Linked DNA regions of Oreochromis niloticus. The protein of the gene in region 1 interacts with the protein of each later gene in a pairwise test. Links are inferred from orthologs where the notes say so. Each region holds a gene or a part of one and is shown on either strand. Other genes may lie near its edges. The genes, in order: prkaa2 and ccnb1ip1.

What was found.
Region 2: the proteins of prkaa2 (region 1) and ccnb1ip1 interact in binary tests that used the Homo sapiens proteins (3 or more experiments, as listed by UniProt). The two-hybrid records come from large-scale screens. The link is inferred for Oreochromis niloticus from reciprocal best matches to the Homo sapiens genes PRKAA2 and CCNB1IP1.

Annotation. Positions count from the first base shown.
Region 1 is NC_031986.2:38,373,786-38,384,279, forward strand, and holds the start of prkaa2 (5'-AMP-activated protein kinase catalytic subunit alpha-2), read left to right. Parts: upstream 1-6,720; 5' UTR 6,721-6,794; coding exon 6,795-6,894; intron 6,895-8,101; coding exon 8,102-8,243; intron 8,244-10,109; coding exon 10,110-10,203; intron 10,204-10,494. Other genes in the region: plpp3 (phospholipid phosphatase 3), read right to left, coding at 4,681-4,819. UniProt on the Homo sapiens protein: Catalytic subunit of AMP-activated protein kinase (AMPK), an energy sensor protein kinase that plays a key role in regulating cellular energy metabolism.
Region 2 is NC_031967.2:19,750,437-19,760,882, reverse strand, and holds the start of ccnb1ip1 (E3 ubiquitin-protein ligase CCNB1IP1), read left to right. Parts: upstream 1-5,985; 5' UTR 5,986-6,133; exon of another isoform or gene 6,134-6,190; intron 6,191-6,995; 5' UTR 6,996-6,997; coding exon 6,998-7,294; intron 7,295-7,719; coding exon 7,720-7,866; intron 7,867-8,048; coding exon 8,049-8,235; intron 8,236-9,970; coding exon 9,971-10,137; 3' UTR 10,138-10,446. Other genes in the region: si:ch211-212k18.5 (sal-like protein 4), read right to left, coding at 1-1,276. UniProt on the Homo sapiens protein: Ubiquitin E3 ligase that acts as a limiting factor for crossing-over during meiosis: required during zygonema to limit the colocalization of RNF212 with MutS-gamma-associated recombination sites and thereby establish early differentiation of crossover and non-crossover sites.

The DNA.
Region 1 (10,494 bases):
ATGCAAAATTGACTGCTAACAAAAGCTTATTGTAAGGTCCTGCCCAGTAATCCAAAATGACTTAAATAAGCAGTTTGAAAAGTGTTTATATGAGAGGGATATAATCATAGATGAGACATGAGAATGAGAGGCATTACTACACTATTGTTGTCAAAGCGTAAACTACAAGCTGGTGTCTTTGTTTTATTGTGCAATCTGTGTGCCAGGATGGCGACAGTATAAAAAAAAGGTAAAGGAGATGAATGTGTCTGGTTTGTATAGCAGTGTGAACAGCTACAGGCAAATTGGTCAAGCTTATGCCTTCAGCTTGCCCACGGGAGCCACATGGGACACATGTCTATAAATCGAGCCACACATGCCTCACACATGCTACCCACAGAGTGAATACAGAATGCTTCACCCTTCAGGCTATATGGTCCATTTAATGACAGCTCTGGGTGCTCTCTCTCTTACTCCCGAATCCCAAAGGACACACATGCACACGCTCACACCCACGCACCTCTAATCACAGCCCTGCTAAGGCACATACCCCAGGGGTTTGGTGGTTAACTCTTGCACCAGCAGAAACCAGCCGCATGTCACAATGACAGTCGGGAAATGCTGCAGACCTGTCTGGCATTGATGCAACCGGTGCTCTTCATCTCAACACGCACGAAAAAAAACATAGATCTTCTCAAAAATGTGCAATTATATTAGCATCTTATCTAGGAGAGATAGTATCCCTATGGCTTCTGTTATCAGGGACATCTGCTGATCTTTATCCTCTGCCAGAGGACACTCATCACCTTCTTAAGAGCCATAACCTCACCTTGTCCCGAAGCCGCCAACATAAACACTCATCACAGGCTGGCCACAGATAACATTTAGATATCATAACGGCAAAAGTATAGTCGAGTAATCAAGCTATGTTGTGTTGTGATGTGCAAAGTGTTCTCACAATAAACACTCAATCTGATCACTGTCAAAACTGAATCCTGAGACATATTCTTCTGTGCATGTCTATTAAGCGTCTGCTGTGGTTGACACATGAGTGTAACTAATGTCACACAGAGAGCATTGCAGACATTGATCATATGTGAGTCTATTTTCTTTCTGACCTTTCACCTAATGTTTAAACAGATCCCAATAAATCCCAGCCAAATATATTTCAAAGAACATGTTCATGGCTCTCACCTCTGAAAGACTTGTGCAGAATCCCTGAGAATATTTACCCTTGGATTAAGGTCAGCATCTTTGGATTGGAGCCTGTGTTTCAGTTTCTCTTTGATGGATTCACATGCTGCTTCAATATAGTTTTCTAACAGACACAGACTGTATAATCTATGCATATCTATATTCTTCTAATATTATTTTGTTCATTATAGATTTTTCCCTTATTATTCTGGGACAATTATGAAGACAGAAGACTGGCTCCGGTAGAGAAGGAACAGGGGGAAGGAATGGAGATAGATGTGGAAATGGACTAGGAGAAAAAAAAAAGAGTCAGGATTTCATTTCACAACCACACCCACCTCCGACCGACACTACCTTTCCGTTTCCCACCCTTTCCTGAGCTCCAATATACACACACACTCTATATGCCCCCTGGTTCACTTACTCCCAAAATTGCACCAGATGTCCCATCCAGAGTCTTTGGGCACAGAGGTACAGCCAGATGAAGAATTTGTGAAATTCTCGAAAATATTTGTAGAGCGGCTCAGGATTGAAGTGGCTGAGGCCTGGAGAGGTGGAGGTTAAACCTCTCTGACTTTAATGAGAGGCTGTGTGACTGACTGCTGTAATGTTATAGCAGCTGATGGGAACGCAGGAGTCGAATACAGAAGGATTAACGCTCCGGGGCCAGTTATGAAGCTGATTCCTCGAGGCCAAAAGGTTACGCTCTTCTTGGCTACCTGTCTGTGATTTGTGGAAAAGCAGACCACTGAACACCTGACTGTATCAGAGCTCCAAATTTTGCAATAAACACATAATTAAATGTTTTAAAACATTATATATTTTTTTGCCTCCTAGATCATAATAAGGAGATAGATCATGATCCTTTAAAAGAAGCATATATAGAGTCAATGAAGCCAGTCCCGGACAATCCATGTTTATGTTTTACAAAAAGACCACTCCATCCCAAACCAGTTCTGCAGAAGCAAACACATAATGTATAATCCCCTTTGCATTGTGTAAAACTTAATCATGGTTTAAGTGAGACTACTTTTGGATGCTTGGGTTCCAGAGGGCTCTAGTCTGTGTCTCGTTGCAGTGTTCTCACAATAAACATTTTTTTTTTTTCAAACAGCCAAGAGAAGACTATTGGGCAGTGAGTCGCCAAAAGGGAATACGAAATTCTGCGGTCGAGTTTGTGTATTTATAGTGAGTGTATACTGTTTGTGTGCACGCTCCTTATAGCGTTGCTAAATCAACTCGACTGCTCTGTAGGAGTGGAACCTGATCCAGAGTGAAATCAGCAGATGATGGTCGCGCTCAGCTGCCAAAACTGTATGCCGTAACCCCGGTCTTGGTAGTTGAGTGCTGGAGAGAATGTGAGTATGCTTTTTCAATGCCTTTCTAATCTTGCTGTGCTTGTGCATTATCATTTTTGTTTAGCAAAACCAACTGGGATGGGTTCTTCATTAAACATGTAAACATGTTTTCTTTTGTCCTTGTGTGCAGCTATAGATGGCCTCAGATGTCTTTTATGCAGACACTCATTATCTGCGCCTAAGGGTGTGTCAGTTGGGCACATTAACATCCGTTAGGAAGATGTAACTGCAGAGACTCTGCGTGTAGAGCCCAGCTGGCAGAATAGGAACTAATTAAAGGTAATGAGATATTTATCTATTTCCTAGTTTTAGTAGTGTACACTACTTTTTAGCCATAAACACGCTCAGAACAAAAGCCACCAACCATTAAGCATTCCGCTGAGCTCTTCGACAACACACCCGCATTCCTCCTTCCTCATTCAGGATGCCCTGATAACCCTCCCTTTCTACTGATCTCTTCTCCCTCTCTTTTAACCCCCTCCCCAGTCACCCCTCGCACCAACCCGCAACTCCCCCCAAACCACTGAAGTGGGCCAACCAATCATCACTGAGCAGCCAGATTGTGTTTAGCATAACAAAGGAGAATCTTTGTAACCATTTGTTACTGTGTTCTTACATACATTGTGTGAGTTTACAGGCATACATGCGTGTCTGTGAGTGTGTGTGGGTGTCCTAACAAGGCAATGGAGAACTGTCTGTAGAGCTTTAACCAATAAAGGAAGTTGGTTTGTGCAGGAAATTCAGTCCACATGTGATCAAAGCTCATCTACAGTTATATGAACGCAGATGAAACAGTGTATCTCTGTCTGGGGTTCTTTAATAAGAAAACTAGTATAAACCCAATGGAAAACTTTGTCAGCGAGCTTTGCTTCTACCTCACAGCACTTATGTGGAGTTAATGTGCACCATTTGTAACATACTGGATGATACAATCCAGTTCCTGTGTGGTAGTGTTGCATACTTCATTGGTACTTTACTAGTTCCTTTATATTGCACTATTGGTGTGTCTCCCACCTGCTCCTCTAAAGCCCGGTCAGCCACTGGTCCCACTTTTCGATCCCTCACTCAAATTGGAGAGGCATTCCCCTACCACAACACATGCTTAAGCAATTATTCCACGCATTCCCCTGGACAGAGAGGGAGAAAGAGAGCCAGAAAGAAAGAAAGAAAGTAATTTGAAGTGAAGAGATCAGGGGCAGCTGGCCAGGGATTGGCAAGATTCTGGGAGTGAATGTGTAGAAGTTAAGCAGAACTCCCATAATCCTTTTCCAAAAAAGAGAAAGGGGAGATGGGGGGAATGAAAATAGTGTGAAAAGAAGGAGGGGGGGGGGCACTGGCACTCAACACTAAAAGGACTGGGCTACAGTGACAACAGCCAAAAACAAACCAGCAAAGCAACACACACACACAGACACACATACACAAAGGCAGCACACTGAATCTGCATGGGATGCCCACTGAATAACCCACTGAATAACATGTTCATCTGATTTGGGGTCAGATGATCATGGTTATCAGAGAACAGACTGGGGGAAGTGGTGGGTGTTGTCTGGTTATTTTTAAGGGCAGGTTCGAACACTTGAAAATATTTATGCCCCGGGCATGTTGACAAGGAGCACTAGGACCAACTGATCAGTTACAGTGACACTCCATGGACTTTGAAATGATCAGTATATTATCTGGTGACAGTTCTCTCCGATGAGAAGTCAGTCAGCTGTCTTGATAACAACAACAGTTTTCTCTTTTTCTCAGTTTACAAACTGATTGTGATTCTGGGTTGAATTAAAGAAAATTAAAAGTGCGAACTCCTGAAATGTTGTTTGATTTTTTTATTTTATTTTTTTGTTCGCCACTTCCACTGCCCGGGGGTGTTGCGTTGGAACTGGATGATAAGGGGATGTTGCAGCTTAAGTTGTTTTGCAGTTACAGATAACGGGCAACTTTTAAAATGATAATACTCTTATTGGCAAACTTGAGAAAAGGCGGGCACTGTTTATCTATTCTAAAGAGGGCTTTTATTGTGAGTGCAATGTGCAGAAGTTTCTGTCTTCAGTTTTTTGTGCATGTACTCTACAACAGCTGATGTGAGATACGCAGTTTAAATGGTAACAGAGAGGAAAGCATCGTGTAAACGTATCTGTGAACTTACCAAGTAGAAGGCAGAAGACATCGAGCACTATTAGCACCTTCTTCTTACTGTTGTCAACACCATTGTTGTTATTTAACGTAGAGGTTCCTCCGTTCCTTGTCTCTTGAGCCATTGCTTTCTCATACATGTAATTTTGCATTTGATGAGTCCCCGTTTCAGTTCAAAATCCCACACTGCACGGTCTGTGAAGAAACTCTGTCAGGCTCTCAAGTCCTTGGAAGAAATGTCATGCAAAGCAACGGGAAACAAACTTCCCAACTCGCAGCTCTCTCGGAGTGTCTGATCTGTTTATGACTCGCTCTCTCGTATTTCACTTTTACAAAATAATTAAAAGTCAGATGAGTAGTCGGCTAAATGGAGAACGGACCCGCGGCACGAACTTAGTTTAAAAAAAATTTGCCTGCACTGGTACTGAATGGAAAGCCCGCTCCTCTTTATCTGTCTTGTTTCAAAGACTTGGAGTGAGACTTGCGTTGCGCATCGACAGCCGCTCTTGTTATATCAATCCTTCTTCTCCTCCTCCTCCCCCCGCTCTCTTAGTTCCTACAGCAGCCCTCCTCCTCTCGTCTCCATCCCTGCTTGAAAAACTTGGAAGAGTGGAGCCCAGCAGTGGACAGACGGAAAAACTACTCCTAGCGGTTACTCACGGTAACAGGCGCGAAACAACCGAAGCGCTTTTGAGTTGAGACTATTAAAAATCTTTGTTCTTGGACAGACAAAATAAAGAGAATATGTTCCAGTATATAGTGCTAGAGTTTTTTTTGTTGTTGTAATTTTCGACAAAGAATTTATTTTAAAAGATAAAAAAATATATAATATTGTAACAATTAAAGTTCAATTGTTAATTAAAAGATTGATATTTGTTTTTCATGTGCAAAATGTGTCGAAACTTTATATATATTTGTCCAGTACAGAGACAAAGTCGGGAAGTGTGTAATTCGTGATTTTAATCTTTTTTAACTTCAGGAAATTTTTGTTTCCAGACGATTTTTTATATGTTTAATTTAAAAAAAAACTTATAATATAACATAATGTAATATAATATGTTGGTGAGCGAACACTATTTGTTGTCCAATTTGAGAAGCTCGAGCCTTGTGTTATTTTGTGTATTTTCATCGTATTCCCGTTTCCTCTTTTTTCACATTGTTGTTTTGTCCTAGATTCCTTTCGATGTGGTTTTTGTCCGGGGAAATGGCTATATAAACAAACATTGCTTGCTTGTTGCGTATTGAACATACGCAGAACATAGCAGCAGAACGAAATCCGAAACTCATACCAGGTATTGATGAATCATGCGTATACTGCCATCTAGTGGTGAAATCCGAACAGCTCAACTTTGTCCTTTTTTCTTTCTTTCTTTCTTTTTTAAGTTTTCTAAAATTGTCATGGCTACCTATTTTCTTTAACCAGGTTATTAAAATCTAATACGTAATTTGTGAAACGACGATATGCACACACCAGCGTTAGATATGTAAATGTAAAGACTGGGTAGCGTTACTTTTCAGTCCCTTACTTGAATTAAGGCAATAATGTACGGGATCTTCCAGGGTCAGTTTTGTGCATAATATGCAAGTACTGGTCTTTTATTGCAGTCTGTAAGATTCTTGACAACAGAAATAATGACGCTTGTGTTACTGCACCAGAGTGCATTTATGAATAATGAAGAAAAAAAAATCAATTTACTTAAAACAACAGATACCCATACTAATAATCACTCACGAAATTTAAGAAATTAAATATATATACGATTTTATAAATATTGATAGTCTATATTTATTGCAGGACTGGTTTAATAACGGTCTATACGCAAACGTTACATACCTTACACACCCATGTAGCAGACAGGTGTTACTGTGTTTAGACCGTGAGGGTTGGTATTTGACTGGGCTACTAAACTCAACATAACACCCCGTCGGTCGCTCCGTGCAAGGTAGGTGGGAGAGCGCGCCTGGTTCTTGGAGGGATAATTCGCGTGCGTGCGCGCGTTTTCCGCCGTTGGTGATTCTTCACTGTGAAGTGCCCCGCCCCCTCCTCCCCGCCCCCGTGCGCTGCACAGGCCAGGCAGGCAGTGCTCCCACCTCCCCGAGCGATCCAAGCCGTCGGTAACGGAGAAGATGGCAGAGAGGCAACAACAGAAACACGAAGGCAGGGTAAAGATCGGCCATTACATCCTCGGCGACACGCTCGGAGTGGGGACATTCGGCAAAGTGAAGAGTTAAGTCCTGTTTCTGTGTCATGCCAGGCTTCATGTGTACGTTTGTGTCTTCAGTTGGAGTAGTTAATGTCAAGTAGTCGCTGTGCCCCCCTCCCCTCCCATCTCTTTAACGCTCCGCGTTCAACTTGCTGGTGGTCAGTGAAGCAGTTGGCGTAGCTGAGCGGTTTAACCACGGCAACAGACTGGATTTTAAACGTACTGTAGTCTGAGAATCCGACCGCTTCAAAGTCAAATTCTTTCACCGAAGCCCCCTTCAGTAGCTGCTGTTATCAGCTATGGGAGGTGATAAAACCTGGATGCACGGAGATGCACAGTCACACTCGCATTATTATGGTATAACGTTAAGTAATAAGGACTGTGCGGTGGTGGCTGTCCTTTGCCCTGTCTGGCGACAAAGGACGTCTGAAGCTCACCGTTTGACCCACCGTGGGAACCTAACGTTGAACTGACATTAATGTTTGCAAGCTAGTCCGATGTGTTATTCTCTGCTAGCCGGTGGTAGCTTGTTAAGTGCTTGTCAAGTCGGGCAAACCCTAGACAATCTTAAAGCTTCAAAAGGATGCATATAACAGATTATTATTAGGGTTGCCTTCGCTAGTTCTCTGACACTCAGCATGACCTTGTGAGCTTTAACTCCATGCTCACCCCGCCTGTTTCTTGTGTGTGCTGCTAAAGCATTTGAAACCATGGCTATTTCTGAACATCATTATTAAGGAAAATGATTTTGCTCACACTCCCAAACCACTAGGAGTGTGAAAATCTGTGTCAAGTCATGTGTGAATGAATACAAAATGACTGTATGTGTATATGTAATGCTTGCTCGTTTCAGGTTACTGCTTGTGTGTTAGTTGTGGAGCAGTTCATGCCCCAGTTCGTATCTGATTCTGAGTTTCGTGTGCAGTGTTTGGCAGCTGCAATAACAGCTTGGTTTCAGAGCCTCCAGCAGGCAGATAGCTCCAACACTATAAACAAACGCATGGAAAGAAAATAGGGGTTACAAAAGAGAGCAAAAGCTCAATATAACAAACACAGTTCATTCACTACTTCGTGCGAGCTTCCTACGCAACAGGACTCCAAATCAAAGTGTAACCCTTTTAATCCACACCAAGCTGCTTATGTAGTAGGTTATGTGATTTATTTATTTTTTATTAATTTTTTTAGCCTCTGTGGTCTGTCTCTTTCATGTCTGCATTCTGTTGTTTTTAGTTGGTGAGCATCAGTTGACAGGCCATAAAGTGGCTGTGAAGATCCTGAACAGACAGAAGATCCGTAGTCTCGATGTTGTGGGGAAGATCAAACGAGAGATCCAGAATCTTAAGCTGTTCAGACACCCACACATCATCAAGCTGTAAGTGGAGAAAGACGACACATCCGTCTGTCAGATTGAAGACTCTCAGTGAAGACTGACAGGCTTTGCAGAGAGATAACTGGGCTCTCTTTTATTATTGCTTGTTGTAACGTGGGTTCTTTGCTGTGTGTTGTGGCATGCTTTGCTTGTTCACGTGTTTTCTAGAGCTGTACTCTACTGAGCATGCCCACAAGGCTCACAGGAGGTAAAACACACAAACATACCAATGCACGCACACAAGCTTTGAGCTAGATAAAGAAATGTGCTCTGGCTAGGACAAATCTCCAGTTAAGATGGTGGATATTGTCTAAATCCCTCTCTCCTCATGGGTCTTTCCGTGTCTTTGTTGTCCTTCTTTCTCTTTCCTTCTATCTCCCTGGCCTCTTTCACCTTGTTAGTCCATGTCTGTCCGTCCCTCTCAACATTGTTTGTGATATTTTTAGTCTAGGGTTAGGGTTAGTCCACTGTAAAACTCTAAGCAATGGCAGATATGCGAGTTGTCAGGTCATAAGCTGGAGTGCTGTGGAAGTCAGTGTCAGAGACATATACAATAATAAACACATGCACACTGTGTACACTTCTTGTACAGACATGGAAGCAGTTTAACATACCGACCATGACTATAAAAGCTGCCACACTCTCAACTGTTAGAAGAAAAGAAGTTATTTGTCTTAATGTTTCTCCTCCCATAGTCCCTGTGGTGTTAGGCTTCACCCAGCTTGACAGGATTGAAATAGATTGTGATAAAGTTTATATTCTACCACCGGCAACCATTCATGAAATTGTGCCTGCAATTTAACATACCTGACCTTTATGAAAGCAACCCAATATCACAGCCTTGCCGTGCCTTTGTTTCTGTGTGCTAATGCTGTGTATTGTTTATGTAGACGATATAGGTTTAGACATTCGGGTTCACTCATCTGTGTCCTTGTTTTGAAAGAAAAGCACATTTGTTCTTATTTCCAGTAAATTAATCAGAAATGTCATGAATGACAAATATGACTGACTGATGATTTTTAATAGCAACAATCACTCCTGTGTCCTGTTGCACAAGTTACAGAAATGATCATGAGAAGAAACCTCTCCAAATATGATAGCACATCTGATAACTGCTGTGTTGATTAAAGAAACAATTCATTTGGTTAGCTGAGTTACTGGAACATCAACTCTTGCCTGCTCGAGAATTAAAAGTGACTTTTATTTTGAAAGCCATCTTAATAGGGAAATGAAAGCTATTCCTTGTGGGAAATTGTGAAAACTGAAGATGCCATAGAAAGGTGTGTCCTACCCCCTACATAAAACCACAAAAACCTGAACCTGAATAGAAAGAGGAATGAGAGGCCTGCAACACAGAGCAAGGAAACAAATGCATCAGACACTCTATTTTCAGAAACAGACACCTCATGGGTCCTAAACTGGCAGCTTCGCTAATTGGTAACCACAAAATACTATTTCTGGGATCAGCAGTGAAGAAGCAGCTCCCGGGGCCTCCCTTGTAGGCAGAGTTGCAAAGAAAAAGCCATATATCCTTCTGCTAATGTCTTTTGCCCATCATAATCTTTTCCTGATATACTCAAAAAACTGGACAGAGGTGGCTATACGCCTCTCTAGCGATTCAATTAAAAACATGTAATTTTTAATTAATGATTTCATTACTGACTTTGTCAGGAAAAAGAGTTTTAATTATTTTAATGTTATTTCCATTAAAAATTAATCTACCTAAAAAAGGGACATGTCTAAGTGATCACACTTTTAATTTTTGAGAATAAAAGGTGAAAATAGAAGATAGAAGGTGAAATCAACTAATGAATGTATTAAAAGTTCATTGAAATACAACAGTTTGGGGTTTTTTGTTGTTGTTGTCAGGTACCAGGTCATAAGCACACCGACAGATTTTTTCATGGTCATGGAGTATGTGTCGGGAGGCGAGCTGTTTGATTACATCTGCAAGAATGGACGGGTAAGATGACATTCTTCTATTATCTTGCTGGTAGATTTCAGCCTGGCTGAGTACAGTGGTCAATGAATCATCCGAAATTCTTTTATTATCCAGTGGCATGGTTAGCTGACTAAACAGAAGCCTGACTGGTTAAACAGTTCTGACAGTTTAAAAGCAATTGTTGCATATATTTGATAAACATATCAAGCAAAAATCTGATGATGGTTTGTTTCCTGGGCTTGTGCAGTAATCCAGGTAGACTTGCTCTTAAAAATAGCTGAGTGTATTTATACTTAACTTTGTGTTGACTGT
Region 2 (10,446 bases), on another chromosome or scaffold:
CTTTAAACTGGCTGCCCACAGAGGAGGAAGATGACGAAGAGGAAGATGGGAGCACACTGCTGGATGCGCTTGCAGCAGCTGCCGCTGAAGCTCTGTTCAGCTGTAGCAGCGAATGGGCTGTGGACAGCAGAGCCATGTCCACAGAGGGGGGCAGAGGTAGGGAGGAAGGCGAGGCCCGAGCCGAGCCACTGGACAGGAATCCTAAAGCCATGCTCTCTGTCATGCCGGGAACGCTTCCTTTCACTCCGTTAAATGTTTCATCATCATCCGCTCGCCGTTTGCGCCTCCTCTGGATGCTACCTGTGGCCGATCCGCCCTGCGTCTGCTCTGATAGCGCTGGGGGCAGCAGGGAGAGCGACAGCTCTGGGTTCTGCTCTCTGTGTCGCAGGAAATGAGCTTTAAGGTTCCCCCTGGTTGTGAAACGGCTCAGGCAGACTGGACACTGGTAGGGCCTTTCCCCTGTATGGGACCTCAGGTGGATCTGCAGGGACGAGTCGCTGCTCAGCACCTTCCCACAAAAGCGGCAGATGTGCTGAGGGCGTCCTGATGAGGAGGCAGAGGTAAGAGAGGAGCTGGACTGGAGGTCCTGGGGATGGCTGGTGGGAGGAAGTGAAGGAGTTGGGAAGCTGACACCATTACTGTGAGCGAATGAAGAGGTGTTAGATGATTTTTCATGGAGGTAGCGCGGTGGCAGGCCCAGCGAAAGGGACAAGGGGTGTAGGGAGGCAACAGAGGAGCTGATAGTGGATGAAATAGATGAGGAAGAAGATGATAATGAGGATGAGGTAGAGGAAGATGCAGCTCTGCTGCTGTTGTTGTGTGAAGCGCCTGACTTGGAGACAGCCGGTTGGGGGAAGAGAGCTGATGGAAGGCCAGTCAAAAGTGACGAGGCTGTGGTGACTGGAGTGGCAGTGGAAGGATGTGTTGGGGATGAAGATGCCGCTCCATTAGGTTTCTGGTTGCTTTCCGTTCCACTGGCTTGTGCATTGTTGTCCTGGCCAAAGACGGCTCCTCCGAGCCTCAGAACATGCCTGCAGATCTCTTCTGTTATCTGCATCTGGTGGATTTGGCGCTGCTGTAAAACCCTCAGCTCCTCTAAGAGCACCGCCAGCGTGGGAGGGACCTGGATCTGTCCCTGCTCCCCTGGTGAGCTGGTAGCCTGCTGTTGACCTGGACTTGAGCTTTCACGGTGAGGTGGCACACACTGGGAAGAGGAGGAGGAAGAGGAGGTGGAGGTAGTGGTGGTGGCTGAACTTCCAGTCTGCGGGGAGGTCATGGTGGAGTGAGAGTTCCCTTGGCTGTGGGAACCAGAGGTCTGACCCAGGGGGGGAGGCGAGTGAGTCTGGGAAGACAGCGACGGGTGAGGGAAGTCCGGGGAGAGGGAGGAGTGGGTGTTGGGAAGAGATGTTGTGAAGGGGGCGATGTGGCTGGGCCAGTGGGAGGAGGCGAGCTCTCGCTGGGTAAGGAGGGCGCGTGGAGCCCTCCAGGGGATGGGCGAGGGGCCAGAGGCGGCTGGCAATCTTGAAGAGATGTGGGGGATGAGGAGGAGGAGGATCCTGATGAGGTCACTTCTGAGCCGAGAGATGTGGATGGTGACTTTAAGCCCAGATGGTCATCTGAGGAAGAAAAAGAAGAATGATGAGGGTTGTTTTTTTTTTTTTTAAACCTGCATGTTTATTTGACAAAGCTCCGATATCAACCGAAATATCCAGCTTTGTGAATTTATCTGAACTCTGTTTGTTCCTTTGCCTCCAGTTATTGTTTATGAATTTAGTTTTAAAAAAATTTGTCTACATACCAAAAGATACAGTTACAACATCAAAAGAAATTCCTGCTGGGAAGTGGCCTTGAACATGCAAATAAACAAGAAACTCAACCGTCCACGAGTCTTTGTGATATCTTGTCTCAATCTGTGCTCTCCGGAGTAAAACTCCTCAAACATCTTGTGCACACACATACAAAAAAAAAAGCTCACAGACCACCTTGCTGCTATAGCAACACATTTTAGAGGACAATGGGCATCACCAAGACAACCCATAGCCCCTCTTAACCCACTCCCTACAGCGGTTACGTCTTTCATCTCCCTATTCACCCTCCCCCGCCTTACGTCACAGTGGAGGTCAAGGGTCAGGCCAAGCTAAGGGTTCTGGGCACTGTCCACACACTCTGATTGGTCAACTAATCTGACCTCTGGCGCTCAGGGGTCAAATTCTTTCAGAAATCTTGAGCACGGAGTGAGAAAGAGTAAAAAAGAAAAAGAAATGAGGGGGAGGGTAACAACAATGGAGAGACAAACTAACTACTCCCTCCTGGAGAGACAGTGATGGAATGAAAGACTGTACCTCAAGCGAAACTCCTTCCCTACAAACCTGCAAGCAGATAAGCCTCAAACTAAAACTTCCACTATTAATTGTCAGAGTTTGCCCCAGGGGAGCTGGTGCATGCATCAGAAGCTATATCCCACTAATGATGTCACAAAAACCTCCATATTCTCTGAAATGTTTTCAACCCCGCCCCCCCGTGTTAGGAGTATACAGTCAATAGGGCTAAAGGGTGAGAAAGAAGGAGCAAAGAAAGGGGAGGGGGGGGTGCTGTATTAAGAAAGGTGGAAAAATGAGGGGGAGAGGGGCACATAAGGAAGAAAAGCGTGGATGAAGAGCAAAAGAAGATCAGAATAGAAAGGGCGGAAGATTAATCTTTACCAAAAAAAACCACTGCCCCCCACCCCCACCCTATTGCACCTTATTGTGAAGAAGTAAGAGAGTTCTCCATACTAATCAAAGCCCTCCAGCAGTCAGTGCTGAGCAGCCTGTTGGTCTCCGAGAGGATGAACAGCACACGAAAACGGCCACAGATGTATGTTAGTTAATCCTACTCACAAGAGCAAGTTTTTTGGCCCCACCAAAGTGCCCAAGGTCTCATTTATAAGTGGGGTCCATTGCACTAAGCTAGTAAGCAGAACTGTGAGGTGGCACTTTTTTTCAGTCAGTTAAATCAGGTGCATTTGTCGGAATGCAAATGCAAACAGGAACTTGCAAAAGTTAGAGAAAAGGAATCAAAGAAAACCCGCTTGTGTCTTAAAATCTAACTTTTGCGTTGGTAAATGTATTTAAAGATTTAAGTTCTTTTAGTGAATTTCACAAGCAGCTTGTAGCCTGTGAGCGATGTTGTTTATATCAATCTTATGCAGCTTTGATCTAACAAAAAGAAAGAAAGAAAGAAAGAAAGAAAGAAAGAAAGAAAGAAAGAAAGAAAGAAAGAAACACAAACGTCCAAAAATAAAAAGCGCACGAACACTCGTAAACATGTTTTCTCACCGTGCGACTGCAGCCTCGGGCCCCCTGGATCCGCGTTAACGAGATGCTGGGGTCTCTTCTGTTTCCGGCGTGACATGATTCACGGCGAGTCAGACGGAGAGGGGGGCATCCGTCGGTTCAATGGCACAAGGCACGTTTTTTTTCTTGCGCACTTGGACGAGCTTCCGAAAGCATCCAAATTTAAGATGTGTTGCAAGTCCTTGGCTTTAAAAAAGAAAGAAGAAGAAGAAGAAGAAAGGGGGAGTTTTGAAAGAGCGGGTCTTTCATGGAACAAAGTTCCAAAAAGAAAAAGTGATGTTTGGAAATCCGCCGGGCTGCACCGTGTCACATGAAGCTTGCCGTGTGTGTGGCTGTTTTCTAAAGTCTCTTCTACCCCCCAAAAAAACTTGTCCAATTTGCGCCCCTCCTCTCCCACTGCTGCCCCACTGCATGCACATACAGGGAGCGCACACACAGTCACACATACACACCATATACACACACGCACACAGAACCACTCCTTGTTCTATGATATTTGCATTTGAATGGCGTGCAACACACAGCCTCCCCGGTTCTCTTTTTCTCTCTATCTCGCCCCCCCTCAGCTTTATTTTTCTTAACACTCTCACGCTGCAGCCATAAACTTTCAATAAAAAACCGACAATGGCGTCAAAGCCCGTTGGATGTCTAAAAAACAAATTAAAACGGGCGTAAGATGTGGCCTTTTTGTTCGAGATAAATGTTTTAATCATTGCAGCAAGAGAGAGAGAGTGCGAGAGAGAGAGAGAGAGAGAGAGAGAGACGATGATGGCTCTGATTAAGATGCAGTAACACGCGTAAAACTAATTCAACAGGTAACTTAGGAATCAGGTGCCATGCCTCGGTCCTCCCGTGCGCTCTGCACCTATACTTTGATCCTCGTCAGAATAATAAAGTCAAGCTGGCAGGTGGTTTCCGTCAGCGTGAGTCAAAAATCTGCCTTCCCAGCATTGAGCTGAGAAGTGTAGATAGGCGAGATGTAGCCTTTGATTTCCTCGGGGCCAATTATCAACAACAGTGCAGCGAGCGGCTAATGTTTGCAAGTGGGGCCACACATCCATTCCACATGCATGCATGTAATTCGTGTGTGTTATCACCGAGCGCATAATACCCACCCCCAGCACCATCACCACCACCCAAAAAAAGCATCTTACACTGGAGCTCTATTTAAAAGGCAGAGAATAGATGGGAATCTTTGACAATGGCGTGCTGGACACAGTTGAGTGAGCATCTCCCCTCTCTCACTATGAACCCCCGGACCCGCTGCTGCACAACACAATGCCCCTCTTTCACCCCCTGCCTTTACTCCTGTACCACGTGGAGAAATGGATAAAAGCAGGAGAGGGGGAGAAAAAAAAGTGGTGGCGGAGGAGGAAGGGGGCCATATTTAAGTAGGTGTCTCACATAAAGCATATAGACTGTCCGCTCAGAGGCTGTGTAGGGAAAATGGGCAGTATTTGATTTTGAGGAAATGCCTGCCATTCAGAGTTTAACAGTTTAAGCTCACATTGATGAACTTTAGTCAAGCTTTTTCACGTCACTTTGAAATCCGGCACTATTTCGAAAAGAAAGAAAAAGAAAGAAAGAAAGAAAAAAAGTTAGGACACTGTAAAATGTAAAACCATTATTATCATTATCATTATTATTATTGTTATTATTATTATCATTATTATTATTATTGTTGTTGTTGTTGTTATTATTATGCTGAAACAAGCATGGTCCTTCCTGAAATCCAGGATACCAACAGATGGCACATAATATATCATCTCTGGCATTAATGGTTCCCTCACTGATATCCAGATCACATTATCATTATCATTGTTGTTGTTTTTTTATTTATGTCCCTTTTATAAGGAAGCCTTGAAGCAGAAATACTTGTGCCAGTAAAAGCAGCTACAAAAAAAAAAACAAAAAAAAAAACATGAATTCAAAAAGGCACTATATATGTTTTTGCCAATATATGCGCTATGTGGCTTCATAGTGTTAGACAGTGAAGTATAGTAACTGAAATGTTATATTTATTTCCATTACTGCTTTATTACATAGAGACACCTGCAAGATGGTATAATACATATTGTTTTATGTGTGTGGAATCTTATGCCTGACAGGTGTGCTCACCTGCCTCAGAAAGAAGCGTTTTTGTACAGTTTTACAGAGAATGGCAGGAATGAGGTAGGAAGTGTTCTTTACGGCAGGCGGATTGAGCAAGTCTGAGAGAGAATGAGTTCTGCTGGCTCAGTACTGTGGAGTGGAGTAGGCGAGATGGGTTTGCCACTATGGAGAGCAGTTTGTTCAGTGACCACTTGTTGCCAACGATGGTTCCTGCCTTCTGAATCAGTTTGTATATCCTGCTGCCATCTCTGGGATTGATGCTGCCTTCCAAGCACACAACAGCAAAGTAGATGGCACTTCCAACATTCTTGCTGCACACAATCTGAAAAAGTAGAGTGGGGTCATCCTCTTCTTCTACAAATTCAGAATTGAACTTACTGTAGCTTAGTGTGGTAGCTACCAATGGTAATGTAGGCCTAATTTTTATTTATTTGTTTGTTTATTTTTCCACACCACAGTTTGTAGGGCTTCACTGGATTTATATTATAAAAATAATAATAATAAAATATAACACGAATCCTGCTTGAGATTTACATTAAAAGTTTGGCCCTAACTTTGTGAGTTATTCTAAAGTTCTTAAGTTGTAGTGTAAAGATTTTGCCATCGTGATTGGTAGAGCTTGAACTGTATCAGCCAATCAGATTTCAACAGTGATGTCACTTGCCGGGGTCATCTTCAGAGTAACGGTAGGCTTTGATCTTTGAAACTAGCCATTTTTACCAGTGTTTTAGGGTTGTGTTAAGGTACGTGTGTATAATGTGAAAAGTATAGATTTTTTATTAATCTGCTAAAGGAAAAAGGGTTGACATGACACTTTAACGAGCTTGTTATTAGCAAGTGCAGAGAGCTTCAGGCTTTTACTAGCTAACCTTCTAGTGCTAGCATCTAATGTCGATAATGCTGCTCGGTTTTGGGTAGCAGAGCTTTTACGTTTTATACAACAAAACTGTATTTTAACAGCTTTCGTTTTTCATAAATATATATTATAAGCCACTAGAAATTAGATAGCAAATGGTTTCACAAATAATAACCTTTGCTTTATTCCACTGAACTGATGTAAAAAGTACATTTATCCAGCGTGGGATCTATAGAGTTATCTTAGCCCCCATACAGTTACTGTAGCTTAGCTTAGCTGAACCGTTTTTTGCGTACCAAAAGCAAAAAACTTGATAAAAACAATTTGTGGGAATATGTGAACATAACACTTTAAACATGTAATAAATGAGCTGCTATAAAGTACCAAAATGTTGTAGGTTAAGGCCAGCTGCAGCTGTATTACTAAAAACCATTGTCCACCTTGTTTTTAATACAAAGGTTTAGGATTTAGGTAATATGTAGACCTCTAAAATAATGTCTGATTGTGATTAAAGTAGTTCAAACAAAGACCAAATTACTCCTGCATTGCATTGGGCCTGGTGTTACAAAATACATTTTTAAATATAAAACAATATAAAAATAAATACGGAAATTTGATTGTTAATCTTTGCACATCTTGTTTTTGCTTTGTAGTTTTTTTCTCTGAATGACTGTTCACTGTCCTTTACAAAGGCATGTCTATCTGCGATGACACCCTCCTGTGTAATTTCCCAAAGTGTCGCGCTAAGCTGAGCGCCTTCGCTTGGGTCACAGCGTGCTCACATGTTTTCTGCGATCAGCACGGATCTGAGAAGTTCAGCCGTTCTCCCGTCATCTGCCCTGCGTGCTCGTCTGCACTGTCTGGAAAGCTGGACGTTGTGAGGATGGAGCTGTCACCCTCTGAGGAGTATAAAGCCATGGTGCTGACAGGTCTGCGACCAGACATAGTGCTGGACATCAGTTCCCGTGCTCTGGCCTTCTGGAGCTATCAGGTCAAGTATCTCCATGTGAACAATCAATACAAAATCAGACAAATGTGAGAGAAGCTCCCACATCATCCCAGAAAAATAACATTTTTTATTCGTAAACTAGCATTAGCATATGTAATGATGTCCTACCCATCTGATCAAAACAAGTTACAGAATGTAAGTGGTCTCTTTTTATCTATGTTTGAAACCAGGATAATTTTCTATCTGTGGTTCGTCCCCTTTTTCTAATATAATTATTTAACTCTTGATACATGTTAAATTTGAGATTCTGTTTATTTAAAGAATTAAAATGATGAAAAAGGTGAGTTGGTAAACAATCAGCTGATTCTGAGGTGCTCAGCTGGCCGTTTCCTTCCTCGTATATAAACCCTGATGGTCCATTTATGTCAGTCAGATCTTGTGTAGCGTGTAAGTCTTGGTGTGTGCAGGTGCATCAAGAGCGTATCTATCAAGAGTACAGTCTGTCACGGGCCGAATCACAGCTGAAGCAGATGGAGAAGTTCCTGACTCAGCAGAACCAGAGCAGAGAAATGGAGCTTACTGCCTTGAAAGGAGAAATCGCCTCCCTGAAGAAAGTAAATGACACAACTCTCACCACCACACAAGACATTAATGCACTAAACTTGTAACCTGGTGTAAAATAGCTTCAAAGGCTAAGATGTAAAATAACAGGGAGCACGGCCAGTGGTCGTCTTAACTGTGAATCTTGAAGACATACATAGAGTAAAACAAGATTTCTCTGTATCCTGATGGCCAGATGATGGACGAGTACAAGAGGAATTACAGCGAGATGTCTGAGAAGCTGATGCAGAGAAACCGGCAGTACCAGAAACTACAGGGGCTGTACGACTCTCTGAGGATGCGTAGCATGGTGGTGGGTGCTGGAGGAAGACATACAGAGCAACAAATGGGACATCAAGACTACAACGCTGATAATAATGCCGGTAATATCAGCACATTGTAGTTCATTTGTCGTTTTTAAAGGTGCATGGTTGGACAGAGATGAAGGCTTGGCAACTAGTTTAGACAATGGACAAACACATGACTAGTTATTTTCACTTTTAAAGGTCAAACCATAATATTGTTTCCAAATATGAACAGCAGCATTGATGCTTAATCACAAATGACAGAATTTTAGCCCCCCTATCAGTATTTACCAAGTGCAGGGAATTTTTAACACAGCTTTTCCAACCATGCTAGTTTTATTAAGTCTCACACACATGTCCTGAGCTGTCCCAGCCCATTCTTCTTTGGCACATCTCAAAAACCTCTCCAGATTTGCTGGTCTTCTGGCATGAACCTTGGTCTTATGCTTTGTGCAGGCAAGTCAGTGACGTTCACTTTGGTTATCTGGGGGTCGTCCTTGACCAGGAGCAAACTATGTTTTAGGTCGTTGTCGTGTTGTAAGACAAATTGACGATACAGATCCAGTTTTGCTGCTGATTGCTTGAGGTTTTCTTTCAAAGTCTTCATGTGTCCTTTCTTCATGATTCCTACCACATTGATGAGATTCCCAGTTCCGGATGTACTAAAGCATCCATAAAGCATAATACTTCCTCCACCATGTTTCACTGTGTAGACCATGTTCTTTGGCTTAAACGCCTCTTCCTGCTTTCTCCAAACATAAGCAGCATCTCTGTGGCCAAAGGATGCGCCTCCAGTAGCAATAATTTTTCTCCAGGTTGTCCTTACTTACTTCATTTTGGCTTGAAGGTGTCTCTTCTGCAGAAATTCAGTTTTTCTCGGTCTGCAACCTTGCAGTCCATTCCTGTGCAGGCACTAAACTAAATTTCCAGACTTAGCAAAGTCATTCCCTTGTGTCTTTAGAGTTGTTCTGAGGTCTTTAGTCACATCTCGTACCAGTTTTCTTTTCAGAGACTTATATTAAACATTTTGCTTCCTATCTCTGCCAGGCTTGCTTTGTGTGGCTCTCTTTGAATTTCTTGATGTGTTTCTCACTCTGCTTCGGAAACACTGCAATAGCTTTGTTAAATTGTGTTAAACTGTGTGTAAATTGGAAGATAACCCTCAGTTTTAACTTGATTTTACAAACTTTGAACATAACAAGTTAAAACACATAATTGCACAGTAGTGGTCCGTGCAATGGCTCAATAAAAAGGTCAGTTTTTCACGGGGCTAATAATATATGATACAATAAACAACTTCTGTTAATAATAATGATATAATAATATATAATATATGCTTTCTAAAAGTGTTACCTAACAGCATTTACTAATAATGCCTAAATTTTAAAGGCATTATTAGTAAATCTTGTTAGGTAAGTAGTAGTAAGTAGTAAGTTTTTGTTATTGACTGAGTACACAAACAATGTGAAGATGTCATTATGGCCTCTATTACCTGCACTTAAAGTTTGGCAGACAAACTACTAAAATCCATAGTAATATATCGCTTATGTTCAGAAAAGAGAGATAAATAAAGACTTTGTGCTTTCATAAAATCAGCTTTCACATTGTGCTCACGTTGATGAATGAGAACAGGAAGGAATCGGGGTAAAAAAATAATGCTTAATGGCAACGAAGGAAGACAGGGCTTTTATCAAAAAGACTTTGTCATCAGGAAAGAACAGCAGGAGTAATGAGCTGAATGTCTGTGTAAGGGAATTTTTTAGTGAGAATAACAATGAAAGACATCCATCAACCTCCTGTGTGTGTCACTCAGGGGTGGCTCAGCATGCGACTCCTCAGAGGAGCCCTCCGTTCCTGTCCCTGGGCCCTGAAGGGGACGGTCGATTCTTGTCCACCGTGGAGGCTGATGGAGGAAAGACCTTCTTCCAGTTCAGCTCCCCTGGCAGGGATAAATGCCGGCCCTTCATCAGGAAGCACTGAGAGCAGCAGTCTGCAGTTATCCATGTTACTCTCCTCTGTTCTGCTGTACTCACTTTAGCAGGAGACGTTTGCCCTTTTTTTGTGCACTGTTTATTTCCTGTTCAAACCATACATATGTATTTAACAGTATTAACAAATATGGGATTTAATTTTATATTTTGTTACATGTTATTCCTAAGTAAATAATAAAAATCCCAAGCATATTTTCACAGAGTTATGTCTTACACATAACACTTATCTGTCTCTTAACAAAAAGCTTTCAGGTGCAATCGCTTTTTCCTCAATTCTGTATTTAAATGTAGGATTATA